Linked DNA regions of Macaca fascicularis. The protein of the gene in region 3 purifies or fractionates together with the protein of the main gene of each other region. This does not show direct contact. Links are inferred from orthologs where the notes say so. Each region holds a gene or a part of one and is shown on either strand. Other genes may lie near its edges.

Region 1 (3,500 bases), on a different chromosome or scaffold from region 3:
TTGTTTGTTTTGTTTTTTTTGTTTTTTTTTGAGATGGAGTCTCACTCTTTCCTAGGCTGGAGTGCAGTGGTGCAATCTCAGCTCACTGCAACCTCTGCCTCCCAGGTTCAAGCAGTTCTCCTGCCTCAGCCTCTCGAGTAACTGGAATTACTGGTATCCACCACCACACCTGGCTAATTTTCTGTATTTTTTGAGTAGAGTCATCGTTTCGCCATGTTGGCTAGGCTCTTCTTGAAGTCCTGACCTTAGGCGATCCGCCCACCTTGGCCTCCCAGAGGATTGGGATTACAGGCAAATCAGGGATGGTTTTTTGTTGTCTTTTTTTTTCTGAGACCGAGCCTCACTCTGTCACCTAGGCCGGAGTGCAGTGGCGTGATCCTGGCTCACTGTAACCTCCAGTTCCCCAGTTCGAGCCATTCTCTGGCCTTAGCCTCCAGAGTAGCAGAGATTACAGGCGCCCGGCTACTTTTGTATATTTAGTAGGGACGGGGTTTCACCATGTTAGGCTGATCTCAAACTCCCGTCCTCTGGTGATCGCCCACCTCAGCCTCCCAAACTGCTGGGATTATAGGCGTGAGGCATTGTGCCCGGCCGGGATGTTTTTATTGTGTGGTCTGAGGAGGACATCCATGTGTCTTGGTGGCCAGGCCCCAGTAGCCCATCCTTTTTTTTTTTTTTTTTTTTTTTTTTTTTTTTTTTTTGAGACACAGTCTCGCTCTGTCGCCCAGGCTGGAGTGCAGTGGCGCAATCTCGGCTCACTGCAAGCTCCGCCTCCTGGGTTCACGCCATTCTCCTGCCTCAGCCTCCTGAGTAGCTAGGACTACAGGCGCCCGCCACCGCGCCCGGCTAATTTTTTGTATTTTTAGTAGAGACGGGGTTTCACTGTGGTCTCGATCTCCTGGCCTTGTGATCCGCCCGCCTCGGCCTCCCAAAGTGCTGGGATTACAGGCTTGAGCCACCGCGCCCGGCCTCCCCAGTAGCCCATCCTATCCTACCCCTGAAGGAGGCTACCCTTGTGAGATGGGTGTAGCCCCACCAGGCCACCTGGCCAGGGTGTTGGCCACAGCCACAGCTTGTTCTCTTGTTCCCCAAGGTCCTCAGGGACAAGGAAGCCACAGCCCCATGAGAACTCCAGACCCTTGTCCCTTGAGCGCCCCGGGGCCGTGCACCCCTGGGCCGGCCCTCAGCTCCGGACCTCCGTGCAGCCCTCCCACCTCTTCATCCAAGACCCCACGATGCCACCCCACCCAGCTCCCAACCCCCTAACCCAGCTGGAGGAGGCGCGCCGACGTCTGGAGGAGGAAGAAAAGAGAGCCAGCCGGGCACCCTCCAAACAGAGGTACGGCTGCATCGTGGGGTGGGGTGGGTCTTGGGAGTTACCACAGCACCATTCCTAGGGCTGAAGCTCCCCAAGGCCTGAGGTCTTCAGGGGAAAAACGGCCCTCTGGTGTCGCCCAGCCATACTGGGCCCTTCCTTCCACTGAGAACCACTGAGGAGCCATGTGGCAGGCGACCCTGCGGTGGACGGAGGGCTGGGGCCGGAGCTTTCACACACCCAAGGCCTCTGTGCTCACTGCTCTTGTGGAGGGGGGTCCTTCCTGAACCTGAGCCGCGTCTGCAGGGCCCCAGTGTGTGGGGAACACTGGTCCCAGCCAGAGGCTGCTGACTGCTGGGCAGCCTGGGCTTTGAGACAGGGGTCCTGGGGCATGGCGGCTGCCTCTTGACAATCGCACCCCACGAGCCCTGAGTGGCTTTACGCGGTTGGAAAACTACGTGGGTCTGCAACCTGTGCAGATGTAGAGTTGTCATCCTGGACGTCCAGCCCCCAGCCCCTCCTCGCTAAGCCTTCCTTGGCCTTCTGGGCCCCAGTAGCCAGACCCTGTTCTCTCCCCAGAGCAGGCTGGCTTCTCCCTGGGCTGCAGCGAGGCCGCCCCTTTGTTCCGGCAGCGTTTTTGCTGCAGGCCAGAACCTGCCTTCTCCACTTTCAGCTTTTTGCTCTTGAGGCCAGTTTTCTCGGCCATCCTGGGTCATTGGAATTCCTCACACATCAGGGTCTCTGTGAGGGTCCTGGGAGCCTGTAGCTCATGCAGGCCCTGGGGCTGTGGTCACAGAGGCCATGGTTGCCTTCAGAGGTCACCAGCTCCTCCTGTCCACCTTGGGTCACCTGGGGCCTGGGGTCCAGGCCCACCTCCTGGGCCTCCAGCTTTGGGGCTGTGCCACTCCAGGGAGGCTGGGGCCAGGGGCCCTATTCTGCCAAACCAGCATCAGGGTTCAGACCCTTCCCAGCCGAAAGCCTGTGTGGTCTCAAGTCATTAAAGTTTCAGCCTAATGACAGCTCTGGGGCCAGAGAGGGTCACAGTTACCTCAAACCCAAAGGGTGATCACTTTATGGCCAAACGTCTGTGACCCTGTGATCTTGTTCAGCCAACAAGGAGCCAGAGCCCCGTGCCATGCAGGAGCCTGGTGTGTGGTGCTCGGAGCTGGGGCGTGTGACCGGGCTGGCAGATGAGCCGGGGGTGGGCATCATGTGCAGCAGGTTCAAGGCCCTGGGCCTGTGTGCTCTCCTGCTGGGGCTTCCTGAGCCCCCTTGTTGGGCTGAGCAGGGGTCTCTCGAGTTGCATCTGCCCTTTCCCCGGGCACCCACAGGCCCTACATGATGGCAGGGGATGCCCGCTGAGCCGTGGAACCATTGCCGCCGTTCTGAGACACGACCTTCCTGCCCCTGTTTGGATGCTGTGGGGAAACCCAGAGTTGCTGGGTTTGTCTGTCCAGGGGACACATGTTTTTGCGAGAAGCTGTGGAGACTTGGAGTGAAGGCCCAGAGGCAGGTCGGGTGCTGGGCCCTGTCGGGCTGTAGAGTAGAAACTACCATCAGGGTCGCCCAGTGCACCCCGGTGGAGGTGTCCACGTGAGAGGAGCTGCCGTGCTGCCCCAGGATGGCCTCAGTTGTGGCGCCGGGGGGCTCTCAGCCTCCCTGAGGTGCAGACAGAGTTGCCACACCCCAGAGCCAGTGTCCACGCCATTGGTGGGGAATTCATGCCAGAGACCCAAGGACAGGCTCTCGGGAGGAGATGGCGTCCCACCAGAGGGGATGAGGTGGTAGGATCCCAGGACCCCAGATCAGAAGCTCCCCAAAGTGCGGTCTGGGGAACAGGGGGGTTGGTACCCAGATCGTGAGTGTGGAGTGTGCTGCAGTGTCTGGCACCACTGAGGCCTAGGAGGGGGTTTGGTGTCTTGTCCACCCTGCAAACTGGAGCCTTCACGGGGCAGGTTGTACAGCCCCTTCATGCTCCGTCTGTCCCTGCGCGGCAGCATTGGTCGAGGCTCCTTCCCCAGGGCTGGTGGCCGCCGGCGCAGCCACCATTGACGCGGGTTGTTCCCTAGGTATGTGCAGGAGGTTATGCGGCGGGGACGCGCCTGCGTCAGGCCAGCGTGCGCGCCAGTGCTGCGCGTGGTACCAGCCGTGTCGGACATGGAGCTCTCCGAGACAGAGTACGTGC
Region 2 (3,500 bases), on a different chromosome or scaffold from region 3:
GCCGGGCGCGGTGGCTCAAGCCTGTAATCCCAGCACTTTGGGAGGCCGAGGCGGGCGGATCACAAGGTCAGGAGATCGAGACCACAGTGAAACCCCGTCTCTACTAAAAATACAAAAAATTAGCCGAGCGCGGTGGCGGGCGCCTGTAGTCCCAGCTACTCAGGAGGCTGAGGCAGGAGAATGGCGGGAACCCGGGAGGCGGAGCTTGCAGTGAGCCGAGATCGCGCCACTGCACTCCAGCCTGGGCAACAGCATGAGACTCCGTCTCAAAAAAATAAAAAATAAAATAAAAAAAATAAAATAAAAGTGACATCCCAACCTGGTTGCCCTTTTGACATTATCATTACTAATTATACTAATTATAACACTTTGCGGCTGTTCAAAACGTTTGTCTCTACAAAAGGCTTTCATGTTTATTATTTTGGTCCTAATAACAATCCTATGACACAGACAGAAGGAATGGTGCCCACCTATTACATGTGGTTCAGAAAGGCTTCAACACCCAGGTAGTAAGTGGTGGACCGGGCTGGAACGCAAGCCTTGGAATAACTCAGCAGACCTTTTGATATACTGTGCACACACTCGAATGTCTTGCACGTTAAAATGATGTTAGATCATCTGGCTATGTCTTAAGTTCTCTTTAAATATGCCCAGTTAAGACACATGAGCTTCAGAGAGTCCATGAAGATGCTTCATCTGAACCCAACAGTGGGAGGAAGCACACATGAATCTAGTATGGAAACTCTCAGGTCAATGACAAGCTGTCACCTCTTTACCAATGATGTCCACAGTTCACAGCCAAGAAGGCAGCCCTGGAAAACAGGAGCTTCTGCCCCTGCCTTCTGGATCTCAAAAGCTTCAGGAGTCGAATCCTGGTAATATCCCAGATGAGGCAAGCCCAGGCTGGGTCTCAATTGCCCACCCACAAAGGGGAGGGTTCACAGCAGAGCCCTGCCTGGGGAGAACATCCAAAACCACCTACTGCTATTTACAAAGGTGACACTCCGGTCCCGACAGTGGGAGACACAGAAGCCCCAGTCAGGAGGCCCCTGGAGAAGGAGCCTTTACCACGGCCCTTACGTAGTCTCAGCTCTGGCTGCCAGACTAGAGGGCAAGGAGGCCAGCGCCAGAGGCTTACCCAAATGTTTTCATAATGGTGCCGGCAGGCATAGCAGGTGCCCAGCGACTGACCCACTGCAGAGGCCAGACCCAGGGTCTTCCTCCCAGACAACCTGACTCCATAAGCATAAAGACGCTGAAACACCTCCCTGGAACCTGTGCTTCCTTGCAAAAGTCAACCTGGTTCCACTTAGGTGTAGACCAGATGTCTGAGTAAAACTGGTTCCCAAGCCACAAGCGCGCCCCCTGGTGGTTGGAGAACAAGCCCTTCCCCTCCTCGCCAACAGTCAACTCTCTCCGCCACCCCTAAAATCATGGCCCGCTAGGCTCAGACCTGGCCCCCAGAGAGGCTCAGGATCAACCATCTGGTGCCCACCTCTCTTCCTGCTGCTGAGCACTAGAGACCACACCCTACAGAGAAAGGGAAATCCAGAGGCAGCTATCAGATCGCATCCTGGGCCCCTAACACACAGAGAAATCCACACAGGCAGCAAGACACACCATTCAGAGAGCAGTCAAGTGCAGCCCCATTCCCTGCCTGTCATGAACCACACCCCAGAATAGAGAGGCTCATTCTCTTTTCGGATATCTGGAAGTCGGGAGGAGGGGAGAAAACAGAAAAACTCATTCTAACAAGAGGTCTGAAGTTGCCTCCAAAGGTCAAGAATCTTAAGACTTGGCCATTCTGCAAAGAACTATTTGTCTTTGAAGCCTCAAAGAGAAAGTACTCCAGGGCCCCAGAACTCCCGGGCCAAGATCTCTTCTCCATCAGCACTAACAAAATAATCAACTGAAGTCTGACCCTCGGACTCATGAGCATTTAAAACCTGGATTAATATGCCAGCAGGCTCTAAAGCTAAGGGTCCTTCATTCGGGAAAGTCACAGGACCTTCCCTAGTTAGAGGCCTTTCTTGCTGGGTAAATATCTAGTTCTACAAAGAGAACCACAAACTCAGTTAAGCCAATTGCTGGCTCTTATCTTAACAGAAAAGTTCAAAAAAAAAAAAAAATCCCACTTACCCCTCAATGGGTGCACACATTATTTCCTGTGCCTCCACCACAACCCAGCTGCCTCCCTAGCCACATTAATTCCACCCCCTACTGATTAGTGGTGAAGTGACCCCTTCCAAAACCAGCGCTTAGTGGATCTGGTGACTCAGAGGCATCAAAAGCTGCTGTCCTCTCTCTCTCTCTCTCTCAGCCGCTTCTGAGACACTGGCCCGGGATAATAAGTAACCCACATTAGTGAACACTCCTTGCCACTGTTTGATGTCAGCACTGGAAGACTGCAGGTATTTAGCCGTATGTTCATCACTTTCCCCCTCTTTAAACAACAAAAAGCAAGATCAAAAAGAGTTCATGGCCAGCAGTCCTAACTCTCAACAGACCTGTCAGTCTCTGCAGCACACCCATCCATCCACCCACCATACCTAAAACATCTGCAAAGTCCACAGCATCAGCCCACCCACCCTCGTCCAAGTCTCACCTGTATCCACTGTCAACAGTTTCCGTGGACCTCACACTCGCCGTCGCCCTCAGAGTTTTGCTGGACAAGCCAACCACAGTTGGCGAAAGTTTGCACTTGAAGTCGGCACAAGTCCACTCCTCTTCTTCATTCAAGGTGGGGAGATAGCCACACACGACCTTTAGGCTCCCGAGTCCCCCATTACTCATGTAAGCTGTGTTTTCTCCCCCACTCCTCACATATTCGAGGTATATATCAGAAGTCAAAAACATCTGGTAGGCATTTTCCTCCATCACCGACTGGATCTCGGTCTGCGCCTGGTCAAACATGATGGAATCAATCTGCTGCTTCTTGATGCCATCTCTTATGTAGGTCTTGGTGGCAGGCTTCAGCTGCTTGGAGACAATGCTGTTGTTCTCAATGTACCTTTTGTAGATCGCTTTGGCTACTCGTAAAGTTTTGGCATCCTTCAGGTTCATCTGCCTGAAGCCATTGCAGGCAAACCAGAAGTCTAAGGTATCCACGCATTTCTCCCTCTCCAGGAAAGTCCGGAACAGGTAAGCACCGTCTTGATCGCCCAACAAGGAGTGTAAGGACTTGGTCCACCGGGTCAGAGGGGAATCCGGAGATGCCCGCCCCTCCGGCTCCCCCAACCCGTCTTCGTTCCGCCTGGTGTTGGAAGAGACAGGCACAGGTTTGGTGACCTGGCCCTTGCCCACCCCTAGCTGACACGGTGGGGTCTCCCCTTCTTCCCCTGGCACTGGGGGCCGCGGGGCATCCTCACGGAAGCTGCTGCTGGGGTCCGGGAGGCGAGTCACCAACATAGCGCTACTCATGGTGAGGGAGCTCTTCCCACAGAGTTTGGGAATTTTTTTTCTTCCTCTTCCAGTTCCTCTCAGCAATCGGCGTGGTCTCT
Region 3 (4,011 bases):
ACTTTCTCTTCTGGTCCATGGCTCTGAAACCTAAGCCTCCAGCTCTCTGGCTGGGGTTCTCCCACCAGTCACACCAAGTCCCCAAACCTCCCTGTCCCCATCCCGCCCAAGCTACCTTGAACCTCTTGTCCTGGAGAACCTTCTTGATGGCGACCAGTTCCCTGGTCTCTGCCAGCCGTGCCTGGTACACGACCCCAAATGAGCCATTGCCAATCACTTTGATGTCTGTGTAAGCCACCTCTTGGGAGCGCTCTGGACCTTGGCCTAGAGTGGCTACCACTGTGGTCACCTTCCCGCTGTCACCTGGGGAACAAAGGGGATACACGATCCACTGACCCATCCTGTCTGCGCATCACCCCATCCTGGGGCTGTAGGAGGAAGGGAAATCTCTGCAGGAAGCTCGTTGGGGACCTCTTTGTTCCCTCCTCCTCTTTGAGGAAAGGTGGATGCTGGAACCTTCCCAGTGACTTTTCAAACCCTCTTCCTTTCTGGGAACCTTAAATCCTGCCCCCCCTCCACATGGGAGGATATTGATACCTAAATCTCTCTGCTTCAAGGGCTGGCAACCCCAAATTTCTACTTCTAGGAAGCAATAGATCACTGGTCGTCTTGGTACTGGGAGACATCAGATGTTGACTCCATCTACTCTGGATCTACTGCCCTCTGGCCCCTCCTCTTTGGAGAAAGCTTGACCTGGCCTCTTCCACTTAAGGGAGCAGTAACCCTCAGGTACTCCTACTTCAGGAAAACACTAACCTATCTCACAGCCTAGAGGATACTGACCTCTAAGTCCTCCCCTGTAGAGCTGGTAACTTCACTGGTTCTTGGTGACAGAAATGAATGTCCTCTCCTGCTGTATGTACCAGTGCCCTGACCCTCACTTTTTGGTACTTTGAGGTTAGAAAAAAACACTGACCTGACCTCTTCATCTGAGTGGTCCAGAGACCCAGACTCCTCCCCGTATGTGGGTGGTCCCTAATGGACAAGCACCAAATTATGAGAATGATGAACCTGACCTTTATTATCAAGGGGCTATTCCAGCCTCAGTCCTTTGAAGGAAAGCTATAATTTCCAATTCCCATTATTCAAATGGTAGCAAACCTTGGTGCCATTCTTAAAGGATAGTGACCCCTTTGAGTAACTGATGAACCAAATCCATTTTTTCTTTTTTTTTTTCTTTTCTTTTTTTTGAGACACAGTTTCGCTCTCGTTGCCCAGCTGGAGTGCAGTGGCACGATCTCGCCTCACTGCAACCTCCGCCTGCTGGGTTCAAGCGATTCTCCTGCCTCAGCCTCCCGAGTAGCTGGGATTACAGGCGCCCGCCACCACGCCCAGCTAATTTTTTGTATTTTTAGTAAAGACAGGGTTCCACCAGTTGTCCAGGCTGGTCTCAAACAGAACCTCAGGTGATCCGCCTGCCTCAGCCTCCCAAAGTGCTGGGATTACAGGCGTGAGCCACCGCGCCCGGCCACCAAATCCATTTTGAGGGGCCAGTGACATGTTCTTTCAGAGGGAGATAACCCTACATCACTATTTTTTTCAGAGCCAATGACACCATACCTTAGAACAATTATTAAACAAGTATAACCTTAGATCCATATTTTATAGGAAACTGTGACCTACCCTGCTCCATTCCATTTTTGTTAAAGGAGACACACCAAGCCATGTATTTTAAAACATGGACTATGGACTTGATTTGAAGGATATGCTGACTCCCAATGTCTTTAAGAAGCAGTAACTATTAATTCTCACCATTGGGGGTACAGCTCAACAATATTTAGGGTGGGTAATGATGCCAGGTCTTGGTTTTAATAGGGAAGGTGATCTGAGTACCAGGTTTGGCAAGCCTGGCCTTATTCTTTGGGGACACAACACAGTAACCTCAAAGCCCTGCTTCTAAGTGATATTCACTCCAAATCCTCATCTTCTGAAGGACAGCGAATGCAGATCCCTCTTTTTCGCGATTGGTCTTATTCTTGTTCTCTTAGGAGACAATAACCCTAAATCCCCATTTGCAAGCGACTGTGACCTCTGATCCAATATTATAATGAGTAGCAACGTCAGATACCTGTTCTTAAGGCTCAAGGACCCAAGATCTCAATAATGAAAGAACAGGGACTTGTAACCCCTGTTTCTTTGAGTGTTAGTAATTCTGATCCAAGAGTAATTCTGATCTCCAAGAGATGGTAACCCCAAGACCCCTTTTCCTGGGAGGAAGAGGGCTCAGATCCCCGATTTGGGGAGGCATAGTGACCTCTGGCTCCTACCTAAGCATATGAAAGAACCTGATGGATGTCTGAGGAGCTTTGGGAACCCTGATCACCACCCTACACGGGCGCCGCTAGTACTCACGGCCCAGCTTCACCCCGGGCGGCGGGAAGCTAGTGCCTGCGCCGGGGCCTCCGCTGCCTCCGCCGCCGCTGCCGCCGGGTCCACCCCCGGAGCTCGAGGCCCCGACGCCCCCACCCATGGCCCCGACAGATGCCTTTCCGCCGCCGGTGCCGCCTGGGCCGGAGGCCGAGCCTCCGGGGCCGCCGCCGCCGCCTCCGCCTCCGCCGCCTGGCTCCGCGAACGAGCTGGTCCGCGCCCTGCCCGAGCCCCCAGGGCCGCCTCCCGAAGGCCCGCCGCCGCTCATGGCGCCGAGCACAGGCCCAGGCCGCGGGGCTCGGGCTCCCCGGGCTGCCCCAGCCGCCGCCGCTGCCGCCGCCTCCCCCGGGCTCTGGCCTCTTCCAGGCCGCGCCGCTCGGGTTTGGGCTCCGGCTCCGGCCCAGCGCCCGCCGCGGGGCACGCCGGGAGATGCAGTCCGGCTGTCGTCCGCGCCGCCGTCGCCGCCCTCGGCCCGCACAGAGAGCCCCGTGGCACGCCGGGAAATGAAGTCCACAAAAGCCTCAGAGTAGACCGCGGGAATGACGGGTCGCGCTATACGTCGGGAAATGGAGTCCAGGGTAATCTGTCTGCCGACGGTACGACGGGGAGCCCTGAAGTATTTCGGGAAGCAGAGAGCCTGATGCACGCTGGGAAACAGAGTCCACTCACTCAGTTTATTGGCTGTGTGTGCGTCCCAGAGCCCGGTGCGCTCTGGGAAATTGAGTCGGCGCGCGTGAACCTGCGGATCTCGGGCCGTGAAGCAAGCCGGGAAATGGAGTCATCGCCACGCCCTCACCGCATTGCAGGTGTAAAGCGATTCTTAAAGCACGCCGGGAAATGGAGTCCCAGGTGGTTTCTTAAGTCCCAAGTGGATACTGCAATTCCGGAGATGGGAGAGGAAATGGAGTAAATTTCGCGCTTCTCTTCCCAGGTACGCTAGGCCGCAGTCCCTGCCGGGAAGTGTAGTCAACACCAAGGCTTCAGTGCAGTTGCCACAGCGAGCCCTGGTGTGTTCTGGGAAATGGAGTTCAAGGCATCCTCCCCATTGACTGAGGGGGCGGGATCGCCCATGAGCTCCAAGCCTGCTGGGGAATAGTCCAGACCTGACCCTTTGTGAGGCCAGTTTGCGGAGGCTTGTCGGGAAGCGGAGTCCAATGGCCACCATCGGGGGCGTGGAGCGAAAGGTTAGAGACTGCAGTAGTTCCCTGGAGAGACTTAAAAGTGTTTCAGCCCCTCCTTCCTCGCCCCCAGGTTCTTCTTAAAGAAAGAGGCGAGGTCGATCAAGGACTGCTGGAAAATGGAGCCAAGCACCTTTAAGTTCCAGGTGACCATAGATCAAGAAAGAAAAAATGTCCCCTCTCTAACCGCAACTCTGCAAAGAATTCGGGAAACAAAGTTCCCGGCGGTTTCTCCGAACACTAACTAGTCTTCGGATACAGTCTAGCTTTTCCTAGCAATGTGGTTCGCACCAGGAAGCTGAATGGAGCATTAAAAAGACGGAAATAGAATTTCTGGGCCGGGCGCGGTGGCTCAGGCTGGGTGCCGGTGGCTCACGCCTGTGATCCCACCACTTTTGGAGGCCGAGGCGGGCGGATCACCTGGGGTCAGGAGTTCGAGACCAGCCTGGCCAACATGGCGAAACCC
Region 4 (3,968 bases), on a different chromosome or scaffold from region 3:
TCACTTTCATTTAATTTCATGCCAGCTCCAATACACACCCAGCTGCGGAGACCTTGTCTAGCTAGTGAGCTGCTCAGACACAAAGGCGCTCTAATTACCATCCGCAAGCCAGGCTGACAGGGATTTCAAGTGTTTTCATGTTTATGGAGATCAGAGAAATGTGTTCTGTACATCTTTTTCACCGATGGCAAGTATAAAATAAAACCAAACAAAAAACCCAACACATTTATTCAAAGCAGGCATTTCAGTTAAGTTAAAATCCTATAATCAGGATAGCCACAATTCCAGACACTCCGGTGCGAAGTGTAGATATGTCAGTAGCCACATCTGGATGATGAACAAGCCATTGACTATAAAAACGAGAACAACAGCACAGTCTCAGCGCCTTTAGAGTGAGTGAACAGTATGTTCCAAGCACTTCACCATGGTTCACAATGGCAAAGCCTGCAGCTTCTCCATTTGGAGGGTCACATTTTCTACTCGGTTTCCTGCACTTACAAAGGCCAGCTGGCATGGCTGGGGGAGGGGCAGAGGGAGGAAATCAACTCCGCTATCCAGGGAATTGCAGCTGTTATTGCAAATGGCCCCAGAGAGCCCATTATAAGCTGCTGTGCTAGGCTGTGTGTCCCTGGAGTGCCCATCACATGGCGTCTCCCTAGCCCCCAACCCAGGCCCCCAGGATCCCAGAGCCACCCGCTTGAGTAGGACAGCAGAGCCAAGTGGGAGAGGAGGAACCCGGGGCTCCGTCTCGGGAGTTTCCGTGAAAGCCCGGAGCGCGGCCAGGGGCGGTGGTCGCCTAGGGAAGCAGACGCCCAGCACGTCCGCGCTTTCCCACACCCGCGGTGGCGGCGGCGCGCGTGTCCTCAGGAGACTCCAGCACTTGCAAAAAACACTGCGCTCTTCTCCGAGCACGGGCAGAATCCGGCTACTCTGTCCCGCAACCCAGTGCGTGCCCAGGAAACAGTGACCTTGAACCCGAGGAGAGGCAGGCCGGCTGTGAAAATACACTTTAGAGAGCGCGTGGGGTTCACTCCGCGCCTCTCTACCCTTCCATCACCATTCAATACCCCCCGCCCCCACCTCCTGTCCCCACCCGTGTCGTACAGCCTTTCCCCCACCACTCTGAGAAAGGCAGACAGTTGCAAAGGGAGCGCAGGGGTTAACTCCTATTCAACCCTCAAAGGGTCCCTTCATGGCACCGCGTGTTTGATATTAAGCAGCACCTCCAAAGACACAAGATGGTTTTTTTAAGTGTTGAAAATATTCAAGTCTGGCAGATTGGGGTGCACCCTGAAATTATCTACTCATGTTCCCCTCCCCCAAAGTGGATCAGGAGCCAGCCCTGAAAAGGTAAAGCAAGTAACTGGCATCATCCTCAGTAGTTCCGGCGCGCCGCGATCCGGAGAAGCGTGGATTGTGGCCACATGGTCGCGGGGCTGGAGGGCACTGAGAGGCTGCGCGGAACTGCACGCTCCGCGGCTGGGTCGGGTCACTCCAAATAAGGAATCCTACTAACTTGTAAGCTTGGGGTGCGCTCTGTAAAATCCGCCTTAAATAGGGCCGAGTTCTGCATTTCAAATATTTTGGCCCTCAACCCCAGTTACCCGCGAAACATTCGCGATTTTTCTGTTCCTCGTCTTTAGCTTTTTTCTCCCACTTCCAAAAGCCAGAGTTCTCCACCAGCCTGAGCAGAATTGCAGCCCTCAGGGGAACCCGTTGCCCTCTAGTCTGAGGCCGGCGCTGTGGGCACCCCGGGCGTGTTAGCTGCCAGGGACAAGAACGCCGTCGCCAGTTCTGAGCTGCGCCCTCCCGGAGGCGCCAGGGTCACTGCAGGCCGCGCGAGGGCTGCGAGGTGAAGGGGGTTCATGCACCGGGGCCGACAGAGGTCCCAGGAGCGGGCGTTGGGGAAGCTTTGCACGTAACTGCAGCCGTCGCGAATGAAGCCTTCGCACGGCCTCCTTGATGAGGTTTCCAGAGAGCACTAGCTGCTGCAGGAGCCGGTGCGGGTCGTCGTCGCCTGTGCGGGTTTCTGGTTGGGACCCGCGTCGCTGCTGCAGGCGGCGGGAGGCGGCGGCGCCCCGGAGCCATCCTCGCCGGCACGGACCCGACAGCGGCTGCGGGACGCCCTGCTTGCCAGCACCCGGAGGACCATCGAAGTCGGCCTGAGGGGGCAGTGGGGACAGCGCGCTGGGGCCTGTGGCGAGCTCCGCCACGCAGTAGGGCGCAGCGCGGCCCCGCACGCGGCCGCGGTCCCCCAGGGCGCAGCGCAGGACCCCAGGGGGCGCCGGGCCCACAGTCTCAGCCGACGCGGGAGGCAGCAGCAGCGGCACCGCCGGGGGCCTGGCCTTGTCCGCCGGCACCGCCGCAGCCAGGGGTCCCGGGGCCCGCAGCGGCGCCCCCGGGGGCGCGCACGGCGAGGCCGGGCTGTCCTGCGCCGCGTCCAGCTGCAGCGTCTCGCCGATCTGGGCCACCAGCCGGTCCACCTCGCCCGAGCTGCCCAGCGCCACCGACTGCTGCAGCAGGAGGAAGCTGTCCTCCTCCTCTTCCTCCCCCTCCGCCTCCTCGCCAGCTTCCTCTTCCTCCTCCCTCCGGCAAGGCATGGCCCCCTGTCCGGGCACCCGGAGCTGTGCGGGCGTCGCTGGGGGCTCGACTGCCGGCGGGTGCGGTGGGCCGCGGCGGAGCGGGCGCGGAGCTGAAGACGATGCCGGGGCCGTGGCCGGGGCCGGGGCAGGGGCCGTGGCGGACGCGGAAGCCGGAGCCCGCCAGTCACTCCAGCCGCGCGCCTGCAGCCGCGGGAGCCGGAATCCTGCCGGCTCGGGTTGATTTGTAAACAATGGGTGACGTCGCGCTGGGCCCTACCACCGCGCCGGGGAGGGGGTGCTGTGCCGCTGGGGGACGGGGCTTCTGCGGGACTGGGGGTCTGGGTGAAGCCGGACTGCCTTCTGAGCTCCTTCGCTCAGGGTGCTGTCTGCAAGGGCGCCCTGGGGACCTGATCCTGGCTCCCGCAGTCGGGCGCGATTGGCATTTCCAGAAATGGACACCAGCGTGGACCTTGTTGGTTTCTTCCACACACAAGCACACACACACAGTAACACACACACACCGACCCACACACCCCTTCTCTCCGTGCGTCAACTCAACCGGGTTTTAGCGTTTGCGCTTTTGAGGTCCAGCATGCGGGTGTCTGGTGAGGATGGAAAGGAAAGGGAGTCAGGCTAGGGATTTGTACGGAGATTAGGGAAACTGACGGGAATGGGAAGGAAGAAGGGGACCTTGTCGTGCGATGGAGGTGGCAGAGTTGGAAATGGCAAAGAAAGGCCACGGATTAATGTTTCTTGATCGAGATCCTGGGCGGATGGGGGCCTGGACTGGGGTTGGCATTGCTGGAGAGGAGGAGGTTGCTAGTCTTTTTTGTTTGTTTGTTTGTTTTTGAGAGGGAGTCTCGCTCTGTCGCCCAGGCTGGAGTGCAGTGGTTTCATCTCCACTCACTACAACCTCCGCCTCCTGGGTTCAAGCAAATCTCCTGCCTCAGCCTCCCCAGTAGCTGGAATTACAGGCACCCACCACCACGCCCGGCTAATTTTTGTATTTTTAGTAGAGACGGGGTTTCACCATGTTGGCCAGGCTGGTCACGAACTCCTGACCTCAGGTGATCCACCTGCCTCAGCCTCCCAAAGTGCTGGGATTACAGAGGTGAGCCACTGTGCCCGGCCTAGGTTGCTAGTTGCTAGTCGTTTTTTTTTTGTTTTTTGTTTTTTGTTTTTTTTTTTTTTTTTTGAGACAGAGTTTCGCTCTTGTTGCCACAACCTCCACCTCCTGGGTTCAAGCAAGTCTCCTGCCTCAGCCTCCTGAGTAGCTGGATTACCGGCATGTATCACCATGCCCGGCTAATTTTGTATTTTTAGTAGAAATGAGGTTTCTCCATGTTGGTCAGGCTGGTCCCAAACTCCCGACCTCAGGTGATCCAC
Region 5 (3,500 bases), on a different chromosome or scaffold from region 3:
TGCGCAATCTCAGCTAACCACAGCCTTTGCCTCCCGGGTTAAAGTGATTCTCCTGCCTCAGCCTCCCGAGTACCTGGGATTACAGGCATGTAATCCCTGGCATGTAGCCACCACGCCCGGCTAATTTTTTGTATTTTTAGTAGAGATGGGGTTTCTCCATGTTGGTCAGGCTGGTCTCGAACTCCCGACCTCAGGTGATCCACCCACCTCAGCCTCCTAAAAGTGCTGGGATTACAAGCGTGAGCCACTGTGCCCGGCCTATAAAGGCATTTATTACAGCAGAATTTAACCTTGAGAAACTTTGTTTGGTACTCCTGTTTCTATCCACTGTTTCTGGGACTGCTGCCCTTGGAGAAAGCAGACAACTCAGCTACCCAGAGGGGTCTTTGCTAAGGAGCTCTGTCAAATTACAGGAAGATTCCTTACTGCAGAATCCAGGCAGCACAACTGGCTGCTATTCCACTGTGGAGTGCAGCTGTAATTCTGCCCGAGAAGACGGAAAAAGGAGTATGGTGGCTTCTTTGCTCCTGATGCTCTAATTAGAACAGTCAGGTAGCATATGTAGAGTCTAAAGACACAAACAAGATCAGAATTTCTAACAAAGATTCACTCTCCTTTCACTCTCAGTGAAGAACAGCACATCTAACTCATCAAGTCTGGCAGTCACGATTCAGGTGTCACCCTGCTAGGTGGGGGAAATGCAAGGACACTCACTCTGCAAGGTTTTCTGTCTGCAAGGAGGGTTGTGGTCTGGGGCAGCATCCAAGGTAAGGGATCGGATTACTGTCTCACACACAAACTGGGTCCCACTCAGGTCTTCTTCTGCTTCCTCCACAGAAGCAATGTTCTGAGTCTTTCTCTTTACTGACACTGTAGAATCTGAAAGACATATGAACCTTGTCTGCACTTAGTGTTTAAAGTGCTGAGGAATGTTCACCAGTCATTACCCATGCTAAAACTAAACCAAGGAATAGCTGCTATCTGTGCCACGTGAAGGTGAGGCAAAACATGAGATGCTATAGAAAGAAAGCCCATTTACATGCTAAGTAAGGTCAGTAGGGGATAGCTGTAAAATAGAGTATGGTATGGAAAGGAAGGATGTAAATACTTTACAAATATTTAATCCCTTACCAGGAAGTGCTTTAAATCCTGTCCCTTCACTCTCTTCCTCTATCTGCCCCAAGCCTGGCTTCTCTATTAAAGGACTGTCATGTGGCAGAGGAGACATGCAGGGAGTCATATCTGGAGAATGAAGAGAGGAGAACCATCAATCAAGAGAAAGCATCATATCATCAATAGTCAGTGTCCAGAAGTAGCACTTAGCAGGCTTCTTGCCTCCTGCAGAACTAAAATAAACCAAGATATGCTTTGAGGTCTCTTACAGAAAATTTCTCCAGACCAATAAGTATGCAAAATATCTCAGATCAATCAATGCAGAAAGAATCACAGTTATTTAGCCTGGAAAGCTATGGCCAAGATACAAAACCATGAATATAAAGGAACAAAAGGACAAAATGTCTAGAGAAAAAAAGAGAAGAATATAAAGGAACAAAAGGACAAAATGTCTAGAGAAAAAAAGAGAAGAGGATTCCTTTACAGTGGAAAAGCCTTGCACAAACTTGTATCATTGCTTCTTTTTTTTTTTTTTTTTTGAAATGGAGTCTTGCTCTGTCACCCAGGCTAGAATGCAGTGGCAAGATCTCAGCTCACTGCAACCTCTGCCTCCTGGGTTCACGCAACTCTCTGCCTCAGCCTCCCGAGTAGCTGGGATTACAGGCACCTGCCACCATGCCCGGCTAATTTTTGTATTTTTAGTAGAGATGGGGTTTCACTATCTTGGCCAGGCTGGTCTTGAACTTCTGACCTTGTGATCCACCCGCCTTGGCCTCCCAAAGTGCTGGGATTATAGGCGTGAGCCACCATGCCTGGCTATGCCCAACTAATTTTTTTTTTTTTTTTTTTTTTTTTTTTTTTTTTTTTTTTTTTTTTTGAGACAGAGTCTCGCTTAGTCGCCCAGGCTGGAGTGCAATGGCGCGATCTCGGCTCACTGCAAGCTCCGCCTCCCGGGTTCACGCCATTCTCCTGCCTCAGCCTCCCGAGTAGCTGGGACTACAGGCGCCCGCCGCCTCGCCCGGCTAATTTTTTGCATTTTTTTTTTTTTTTTTTTTTGAGACGGAGTCTCGCGCTGTTGCCCGGGCTGGAGTGCAGTGGCCGGATCTCAGCTCACTGCAAGCTCCGCCTCCCGGGTTTACACCATTCTCCTGCCTCAGCCTCCCAAGTAACTGGGATTACAGGCACCCGCCAACTCACCCGGCTAGTTTTTTGTATTTTTTTTAGTAGAGACGGGGTTTCACCGTGTTTGCCAGGATGGTCTCGATCTCCTGACCTCGTGATCCACCCGTCTCGGCCTCCCAAAGTGCTGGGATTACAGGCTTGAGCCACCGCGCCCGGCCATTTTTTGCATTTTTAGTAGAGACGGGGTTTCACCGTGTTAGCCAGGATGGTCTCGATCTCCTGACCTCGTGATCCGCCCGCCTCGGCCTCCCAAAGTGCTGGGATTACAGGCATGAGCCACCGCGCCCGGCCAATTTTTTAAAGTAATTTTTGTAGAGATGGGGGTTTCACCATGTTGCCCAGGCTGGTCTCAAACCCTGGCCTCAAGTGATCCTCCCGCCTTGGCCTCCCAAAGAGCTGGGATTATAGACACCAGCCACCATGCCCAGCATATTGTTGCTTTTGAGAAAGGTCAGGAAAGAAAGAAAACGGATCCATGATTGCTGCTTTACTGTCCTACTGAGGGAGAATTCCTTGCCATTTCCTCAGAATAAAACACTACCAGCGTCTAGGCTATGGTATTGTGTGCCTATTAGTAAGATGAACAAGATGAAATGAGTGACATTCTTACCCACAGGGGTGTTATGGGGCACTCTCTCCAACTCTTGAACAATGTTTATATCCAACAGCTCAAACGACAGCAGGTCCTATAAAAAAAGACAGACAATGTTAGGCTGTTTGGAGTGCATGCTGGAGCCACGTCTTGATGGGATCTGTAGACCATTTCCACATCGTCTTGTATTCAACTCTGTTCAAATTCATGCCTGTCTCCAGACAAGTGAAAAAAGGAAGAGTTAAATAGGAATTAGGTGTTGAAATAACCAAATGGCAGGAAAGAGAAAATGCAGCAGGTAAAAAGGAGAATCAGCTAGGCCAAAGTGAAGAGGCCACTAAAGGGAGTTTGTGGGGAAGTACAGGATTGAGTTCCCAATTCAAAGAGGAAACATCTAGTTTACAAATTTGCTTCCATGGGTGATCTCCTTCCCATTAAATATACCGGACTAGATCAAAGTGGGCATATCTCTGATTTCCTGATTACCGCCTATGGCTCTACCACCTTCTCTCCTGTGCTCTCTCCCTCTGTCCCTTGCCCTACAAAGTGCTGAATCTTCCACCTGGGCAGTCAGAAGATCCACAGATGGGATGTAGAGCTCCCTCTCACTGGC
Region 6 (3,500 bases), on a different chromosome or scaffold from region 3:
TATCTAGAGGCCAGAAGAGGGATGGAGGAAGAATGAATTGAACAAAATAAGATTGGTATCACTATTACCCTCACTTACATGCAGGGAAACTGAGAATTCGATGATCAGGTAACTTGCCTAAGGTCATAATTTGCATGAAGCGAAACTGACACTAAGCCCAGAGCTGTCACCAAAGCCAGTGTTCTAAATCAATATATTATACTACCCCTAACACAGGAGAAAGAGAGGAGATGGTAGAGTAGACTGTGAGAAAAGGACTCCTGGCTGGGCATAGTGGCCCACACCTGCAGTTCCAGAACTTTGGGAAGCTGAGGCTGGTGGATCACTTGAGTCCAGGAGTTCGAGACCAGCCTGAGCAATGTAGCGAGACTCTGTCCCTACAAAAAATACAAAAAAAATTAGCTGGCCATGATGGTGTGCCTGGAGCCCCAGCTACTTAGGAAGCTGGGAGGATTGCCTGAACCAGGGAGGCAGAGGTTGCAGTAAGCTGAGATCATGCCATTGCACCACTCCAGCCTGGGCAACAAAGCAAGACATCTCAAAAAAAAAAAAAAAAGAGAGAGAAAAGGACTCCTGTTTCTAAGCATAGGGGCAGCCTGGACAATGGTAGAGTCATTAGAAATCCACACAGCTGGCCGGGCGCGGTGGCTCAAGCCTGTAATCCCAGCACTTTCAGAGGCTGAGGCGGGTGGATCACGAGGTCAGGAGATCGAGACCATCCTGGCTAACACGGTGAAACCCTGTCTCTACTAAAACTACAAAAAATTAGTAGGGCGTGGTGGCGGGTGCCTGTAGTCCCAGCTACTCAGGAGGCCGAGGCAGAAGAATGGCGTGAACCCGGGAGGCGGAGCTTGCAGTGAGCCGAGATCGCACCACTGTTCTCCAGTCTGGGAGACACAGCGAGACTCTGTTTCAAAAAAAAAAAAAAAAAAAAAGAAATCCACATAGCTTCGAATGAGCAGCACAGAGGGGAGAAGATTCAGGAATGTGGAAGAGGTACTTCTAATGGCCAAAGCACCCTTTTCTTCATGAAAGGATTAGTAAGAGCCACTATTTACAAAGTGCTTACTCTGCTCCAGAAGTGTGCTTTACACATGATATTATGTTTAATGATCATAGTAGAATTAGCAGTAGGTACTATTATGCCATTTCCAGATGCAGAAGTCAAAGAGTAAGACTTGCCTTAGCTCAAAGAGTAAGAGGCAAATCTAGAACAGAAAAACGCATCTACCTGACTTTAAAAACTGCAGTTCTTGGCCAGGTGCAGTGGCTCACGCTTGTAATTCCAGCACTTTGGAAGGCCAAGGCGGGCGGATCACTTGAGGTCAGGAGTTCGAGACCAGCCTGGCTAACATGGTGAAACCCCGTCTCTACTAAAAATACAAAAATTAGTCGGGCATGGTAGCGGGCGCCTGTAGTCCCAGCTGCAGGCTGAGGTGGGAGAACTGCCTGAACCTGGGAGGTGGCAGTTGCAGTGAGCCAAGATCACACCACTGTACTCAAGCCTGGGCAACAGAGTGAGACTCTGACTCAAAAAACAAACAAACAAAACTGTAGTTCTTTTCATAATGACAAACCACCTTACACTGAATGAAATCAGATTTGCTTCCTGGGGAGAAGGCAAAGGCAAAGGCAAAGGGAGGTGGGAAAGGGCAGACATACCTTCTATGAGAGCAAAGGATTATCTGGCTGTATTCTGTCTTTAGCAGTCCTCACAGAGCCTAGGCCACCCTCAGAATCCCTGAATTGCCTTAAGCCCACCTTTTTTTTTTTTTTTTTTTTTGAGACAGAGTCTCTCTCTGTTGGCAGGATGGAGTGCAGTGGCGTGATCTCGGCTCACTGCAACCTCTGCCTCCTAGGTTCAAGAGATTCTCCTGCCTCGGCCTCCTGAGTAGCTGGGACTATAGGCACGTACCACCACTCCCAGCTAATTTTGTATTTTTTAGAAGAGATGAGGTTTCACCATGTTGGCCAGGATGGTCTCAATCTCTTGATCTCATGATCTGCTCGCCTCAGCCTCCCAAAGTGCTGGGATTATAGGCATGAGCCACCATGCCCAGCCTTAAGTCCACTTTTAAATTCTTCCCTAGGCTAATCAGTAACCAGCAGAGGAACAGAAAGGAGAGGAAGTAGGAAAGATAGCCAAAAGGAAGATCAGGAAAGAAAACAAATCTGGATCTAGATCACTTCATTACAGAGTTTGCATGATACAGAATAATTAATCCCTGCATAGTAAGTAGCAGAAAAGGTCTCTCATATTTCTAATTTTCAAGGCAACAGCATGATTCCAGGGGTGAGGAATTAATGATTAAACCAAGAATAGAGTTTTGTTTTGTTTTTTTTTCCCCCAATAGAGATGAGGTCTTGCTATCTTTACCCAGGCTGGACTCAAACTTTCCAGCTCAAGCAATCCTTCCGCATCAGCCTCCCGAGTTGCTGGGACTACAGGCATGTGCCACGGTCCCTAGCTCAAGAAGGGAATTTTAACTACAGATTTGTAACATTTCCTTCTAACTAGATTTCTTTCAAGTTCTTTCAAAGTATGAATTGAATCTTTAGTTCTTTTTGGAATTCACCTTTTCGCAACAATGCTATGATTAAGGATGTTCACTAAAAAAAAAAAAAGAATGAAAAAAAAAGGATATTCATATACAGAGAGAATGGGAAAAAGCAGAAAGGGGAGGAAACAGGTCCAGAAACAGGTCAAGGGACCTCGTGTAAGTATGTTAATATAAGAACCTAAGAGAGGTCCTTATAGGACAGCTGTAGAGCACAGAGGTACATACAGGTGGACTCTGTAAGGCTCTTAGGTTGGAGAAGGGACACAGACTCACCGTTGTTCGGAGTGCCACATGGGGACAGAAAATAGCCAACTGCCGCACTGGCTCATTGTGAGTGTTGAAAAAGATAGTCATGGCGACCAGGACATCGTAGCTGTGAGCCTGGCAGAAAGCATGGAGATCTGCAAGGAGGTTAGACCTCTCCAGAAAGGCCTGAAAGGGAAGAAACGGAGAGGGATGAAGGACTTTCTCATCATCATCAATAAAACATCCTTGGGCTAGGCACGGTCACTCATGCCCGTAATCCCCGCACTTTGGGAGGCCAAGGGGGGCGGATCACCTGAGGTCAGGAGTTTGAGACCAGTCTGACCAACATGGAGAAATCCCATCTCTGCTAAAAATACAAAATTAGCCGTGCGTGGTGGCGCATGCATGTAATCCCAGCTACTTGGGAGGCTGAGGCAGGAGAATCGCTTGAATTCGAGAGGCGGAGGTTGCAGTGATTCCAGATCGCACCATTGCCCTCCAGCCTGGGCAGCAAGAGCGAAACTCTGTCTCAAACAAACAAACAAAAACAAAAAAAATGCTGATAATGTATGTAATGTGCCTAGCGTGTTCAAGGCTCTCCGGTTCTTGCAATCAAACAAGGAAAGTCTTTGCCTTGTGGGTATTTTTTTTTTTTTTTTGAGACGGAGTTTTGCTCTTGTTGCCCAGGCTGGA
Region 7 (3,500 bases), on a different chromosome or scaffold from region 3:
AAATAGATTAAGTGAAGCAGTGAATTTCAAAATTTGTGCAGGGGAAACTAGTTGATAATTTGTTTCCAATAAGGCTAGTAGCAATTAATTACTACAAAGTTTCTCCAAGCTAGTAGTGAACCCCTGATTTAGCAGGTTGAATCAAAGTGTATAGTTAGGTAATTCTAATTCCTCTATTACTGTGCAAATCTAGAATTTCCTATGTAAAAGACAGTGCTAGCAGCATCAAAGCCCTGTAATAAGAGTATGAAATACTGATTAGGATTTGAAATGAAGAGATATTATATGAAGACATGTGAATGTCTTAATGATGGTATCATAGCAACGGCCTCAGAATTCCCTTACTGAAACAGAAACTAAGACAAATCATTATTCAATAATCTTCTGAGCCAAAAGCCTAAGTTGAAAGCAAGTGATAAAAACACAAAACCAAAGATGCATTTTCTATGACCATATGCAAGAATTTCAAGCTTTATATCAACATTCTGTACCAGCACCAGCCCCTCTGAAAGGAAAAAGTGTAGTCATGACTGTCCATCCCTTTTCAAAGCTTCCAGTCTTTGAAGGAGTGCGTTTCCAAAGGCTTCCCGGTAGGCGGGGCTGAGTGTATCCAACAGTGAGTAGACTGTTTCGTGGTAGGGAGTCTGTAAATGATCATCCACCTGGTCAAAAGCATAGCCTACCACCTACAAGAGAAATGCAACAGTGAATTCATTAGTTTTCATGCTGGTACAGAAAACAAAATCCAAGTGTTTACGTGAGTAACTATCCTTTCAAAAAAAAAAATTATTTTTTTTTCCTAGCCACTAGACCACCAGATACATGGATAATTATTGAGTGACACTATTTCTCAATCAATGTCAGAGTATGCACATTTTAAAAACAACCTTTAATACTTCAGCAACTTACAATGTGTAACACAGAAACACCACCACTAAAATGCTCCCTATAGAATTTTCTTTAAAATTTAAAAGGTTTTACTTAGAATCTCAAGGAAATGCAGAATTTGAAAAGCTACACAAAAACCATTTTCATATTCTAAAACATGCATCTATTATTTACCCTATTTAATTCCACATATACTGAGGGTCCACTATATTAAGTACTGTAATAGGTAATATGTTAGTTCATATTTTTGTAATAGGTAATATATCATTGGTTCATATTTTTATCATTTTTTACTCCTTTTATAAATAGAATTATAGAAATTATTCCTAACAATTTAGTTTTAATAATTAGTTGTTAATTTTAATAACTGTTTTATTAATTGGTTTAATAATTTAATTATTCATTTTAATAACTGCTTAGCTTTATTATTAGTAATCTGAAAGGCCACTTTCACCTAATATATTTCTTATCTGACAGGGAATAAATGCTCAACTCTGTGAGATAAAAGGGAATGTTACTGTGTTTTCTTTTTTCTTGGTAGGGGTACACTATTTCTGGAAGTATTGCAATACCAGGTCGATGAGTGAAGTGAATGGAGCAAAAGCCTATTCTATCTCCCTGCTCCAAAAATCCATTTAATATATTGTCCTTGCATAGAGGATATAACAGATATTAAACTGATAAGAAGAGATACTCCAACTGATCTAAGTCAAAAGGCTGAGAGGTGATTTTTTTTTTTTTCCTGTGACCACAGCTACAACTTTTCTTTCTGACAAGATTATAAGGTATATCATGGTTCACCATCACAATATAGGGCAAAATTAATTTAGTTTTTGCTGACTTAAGTTTGTACATTCCCTATATAAATCCTAAATTTTTATGACATCTACTTAAGCCATAGAAGGTGAAAGTTTATGTTAGAAATAGAAGCTGAGTTTTTTTTTTTTTTTTTTTTTTTTAATGAAAAGCAGAGGCAGACGCCTAAGGAAAATGAATCACACCTCTTCAGATCCATGCTCGATTACTGTACTCTCTACAGTGGAGTACAGTTCAGTTTGCCTTCTTCCTCTTATCACTGTTAGACTGTGATCTTCCTGGTGGACAGGGATCATGTCTTATTCATGGTTTGATTTTCAATTGCTGACACAGGATAGTTGCTCAATAAATGTTAACTGAATCAGACTGAAAAACAAATACTTGAGCACCTACTACATGTCAGGTTTTACAAATGGTTCAGATTTTTCTGTATCACACCATCATATAATCATTCCCCAAATCATTTTAAGTTTTTGTAAATCTCCAAGTTATAGATTAAGAAGTAGGAACTCTCAGGGGTAGACAGATTCACCTAAGATCATTTAAATTCACATTTAAGACTGCTGACTCTCTGATCAGAACTCCTTGTATCTCCCCAGCGCCAACTTAGAATTAACCAACACAAGACAGAATTAGCTTACTAATTCTGTCATTTATCTCTACTTCTGATTTAGGGTTCGCCTCTAAACACTCTGAGCTTTTAGTACAAATTTAAGGATGTGAAAAGAAGTGCACAAAAATTAGTTAATTCAGGTACTATGCTTAAAGTTAAGCAGCTATCTTTCTGGCAGCTGTGAGGAAATTGAGGGTAGTACAGATGCTGGCCTTGCAATTTGCTCCATCAAGGAATATACAGTATACACGACTCATCTTCAGCAAACTGAATCCAGTGAAGTAAAGAGATGTTTATGTACTTAAGATAATATCATGTGACATTCTTACTTGCTTAGGTAGGCCTAGCTCACCACCTTATGATAATGTACAATTACTTTGAACAAATATAGAAACACAGAAATGTATGACATTTGTTAAGACTGAAGATTCATTGATTAGTAAGGTTAAAACTAGATTTTAGATTTTCTAATGTCTATCCCGTTGTTCAGTAGCTCAAAGGTTTTTATAACAGTTTTTTTTTTTTTTTTTTTAAACAGGGTGTGTGTACCCAGGCTGGAGTACAGTGGCCCAATTCTAGCTCACTGCAACTTCAGACACATGGTCCCCCTCCTAAGCCTCCCAAGTAGCTGGATTACAGGAAAGTGCTGCCATGTTGGGCTAATTAACAAAATATATATTGTAGAAACAGGGTCTTGCTATGTTACCCAGGCTGGTCTCGAACTCCCGGCCTAAAATGATCCTACCAGCTTGGCCTCCCTAAGTGCTAGGATTACAGGCAAGAGTCCACAGGCCTGTCCTATAGTTTTTTCTTTTTTAATTAAAAGTTGCTCTCAGGTGATGTTTTCTACTATTCTAAACTCATGATTTTGGTTTAAAGAATGGAAAGGTTAATCTGCCTAGAAGAGCTCTCATAATAAAGAGATACTCATAATAAAGGGTTAATGGGACACTCTTGGAAATCTGGGGGTGGAATGTTCTGCTCTGATTTATTTCTGATCTAAGAGTTGGAAAACAGTGTTGTCAAGTATGTTATTTTAACAGAAGAGACATTTCCAAGGGGTTGACGAAGATCTTTTCAACACAATAACTGCAAAACCCATTCAATGCAGAGAATGTATATATAATTTTGGTGAACACATTCAGCTATAGATGAGAAATAAATTAGTTTTGGGGGTCATGAT

The links.
Region 1: the proteins of GSK3A (region 3) and AXIN1 purify together in Homo sapiens (affinity purification with mass spectrometry; 12 studies listed by BioGRID and IntAct, with this or other methods). This does not show direct contact. The link is inferred for Macaca fascicularis from reciprocal best matches to the Homo sapiens genes GSK3A and AXIN1.
Region 2: the proteins of GSK3A (region 3) and AXIN2 purify together in Homo sapiens (affinity purification with mass spectrometry; 3 studies listed by BioGRID and IntAct, with this or other methods). This does not show direct contact. The link is inferred for Macaca fascicularis from reciprocal best matches to the Homo sapiens genes GSK3A and AXIN2.
Region 4: the proteins of GSK3A (region 3) and FRAT1 purify together in Homo sapiens (affinity purification with mass spectrometry; 4 studies listed by BioGRID and IntAct, with this or other methods). This does not show direct contact. The link is inferred for Macaca fascicularis from reciprocal best matches to the Homo sapiens genes GSK3A and FRAT1.
Region 5: the proteins of GSK3A (region 3) and NBR1 purify together in Homo sapiens (affinity purification with western blotting; 3 studies listed by BioGRID and IntAct, with this or other methods). This does not show direct contact. The link is inferred for Macaca fascicularis from reciprocal best matches to the Homo sapiens genes GSK3A and NBR1.
Region 6: the proteins of GSK3A (region 3) and PRUNE1 purify together in Homo sapiens (affinity purification with mass spectrometry; 3 studies listed by BioGRID and IntAct, with this or other methods). This does not show direct contact. The link is inferred for Macaca fascicularis from reciprocal best matches to the Homo sapiens genes GSK3A and PRUNE1.
Region 7: the proteins of GSK3A (region 3) and GSKIP purify together in Homo sapiens (affinity purification with mass spectrometry; 7 studies listed by BioGRID and IntAct, with this or other methods). This does not show direct contact. The link is inferred for Macaca fascicularis from reciprocal best matches to the Homo sapiens genes GSK3A and GSKIP.

What each region holds. Positions count from the first base shown.
Region 1 is NC_088394.1:1,044,197-1,047,696, reverse strand, and holds part of AXIN1 (axin-1), read left to right. Parts: intron 1-1,093; coding exon 1,094-1,339; intron 1,340-3,384; coding exon 3,385-3,492; intron 3,493-3,500. UniProt on the Homo sapiens protein: Component of the beta-catenin destruction complex required for regulating CTNNB1 levels through phosphorylation and ubiquitination, and modulating Wnt-signaling.
Region 2 is NC_088390.1:72,001,513-72,005,012, forward strand, and holds part of AXIN2 (axin-2), read right to left. Parts: 5' UTR 3,421-3,500; coding exon 2,606-3,420; intron 1-2,605. UniProt on the Homo sapiens protein: Inhibitor of the Wnt signaling pathway. Down-regulates beta-catenin. Probably facilitate the phosphorylation of beta-catenin and APC by GSK3B.
Region 3 is NC_088393.1:49,296,515-49,300,525, forward strand, and holds the start of GSK3A (glycogen synthase kinase-3 alpha), read right to left. Parts: upstream 2,801-4,011; 5' UTR 2,636-2,800; coding exon 2,353-2,635; intron 304-2,352; coding exon 116-303; intron 1-115. UniProt on the Homo sapiens protein: Constitutively active protein kinase that acts as a negative regulator in the hormonal control of glucose homeostasis, Wnt signaling and regulation of transcription factors and microtubules, by phosphorylating and inactivating glycogen synthase (GYS1 or GYS2), CTNNB1/beta-catenin, APC and AXIN1.
Region 4 is NC_088383.1:106,269,572-106,273,539, reverse strand, and holds FRAT1 (proto-oncogene FRAT1), read right to left. Parts: upstream 2,801-3,968; 5' UTR 2,601-2,800; coding exon 1,761-2,600; 3' UTR 211-1,760; downstream 1-210. UniProt on the Homo sapiens protein: Positively regulates the Wnt signaling pathway by stabilizing beta-catenin through the association with GSK-3. May play a role in tumor progression and collaborate with PIM1 and MYC in lymphomagenesis.
Region 5 is NC_088390.1:64,240,016-64,243,515, reverse strand, and holds part of NBR1 (next to BRCA1 gene 1 protein), read right to left. Parts: coding exon 3,450-3,500; intron 2,982-3,449; coding exon 2,906-2,981; intron 1,243-2,905; coding exon 1,132-1,242; intron 880-1,131; coding exon 715-879; intron 1-714. UniProt on the Homo sapiens protein: Ubiquitin-binding autophagy adapter that participates in different processes including host defense or intracellular homeostasis.
Region 6 is NC_088375.1:110,202,126-110,205,625, forward strand, and holds part of PRUNE1 (exopolyphosphatase PRUNE1), read right to left. Parts: intron 2,994-3,500; coding exon 2,835-2,993; intron 1-2,834. UniProt on the Homo sapiens protein: Phosphodiesterase (PDE) that has higher activity toward cAMP than cGMP, as substrate. Plays a role in cell proliferation, migration and differentiation, and acts as a negative regulator of NME1. Plays a role in the regulation of neurogenesis.
Region 7 is NC_088381.1:164,445,629-164,449,128, reverse strand, and holds part of GSKIP (GSK3-beta interaction protein), read right to left. Parts: intron 1,618-3,500; exon of another isoform or gene 1,427-1,617; intron 687-1,426; coding exon 525-686; 3' UTR 1-524. UniProt on the Homo sapiens protein: A-kinase anchoring protein for GSK3B and PKA that regulates or facilitates their kinase activity towards their targets.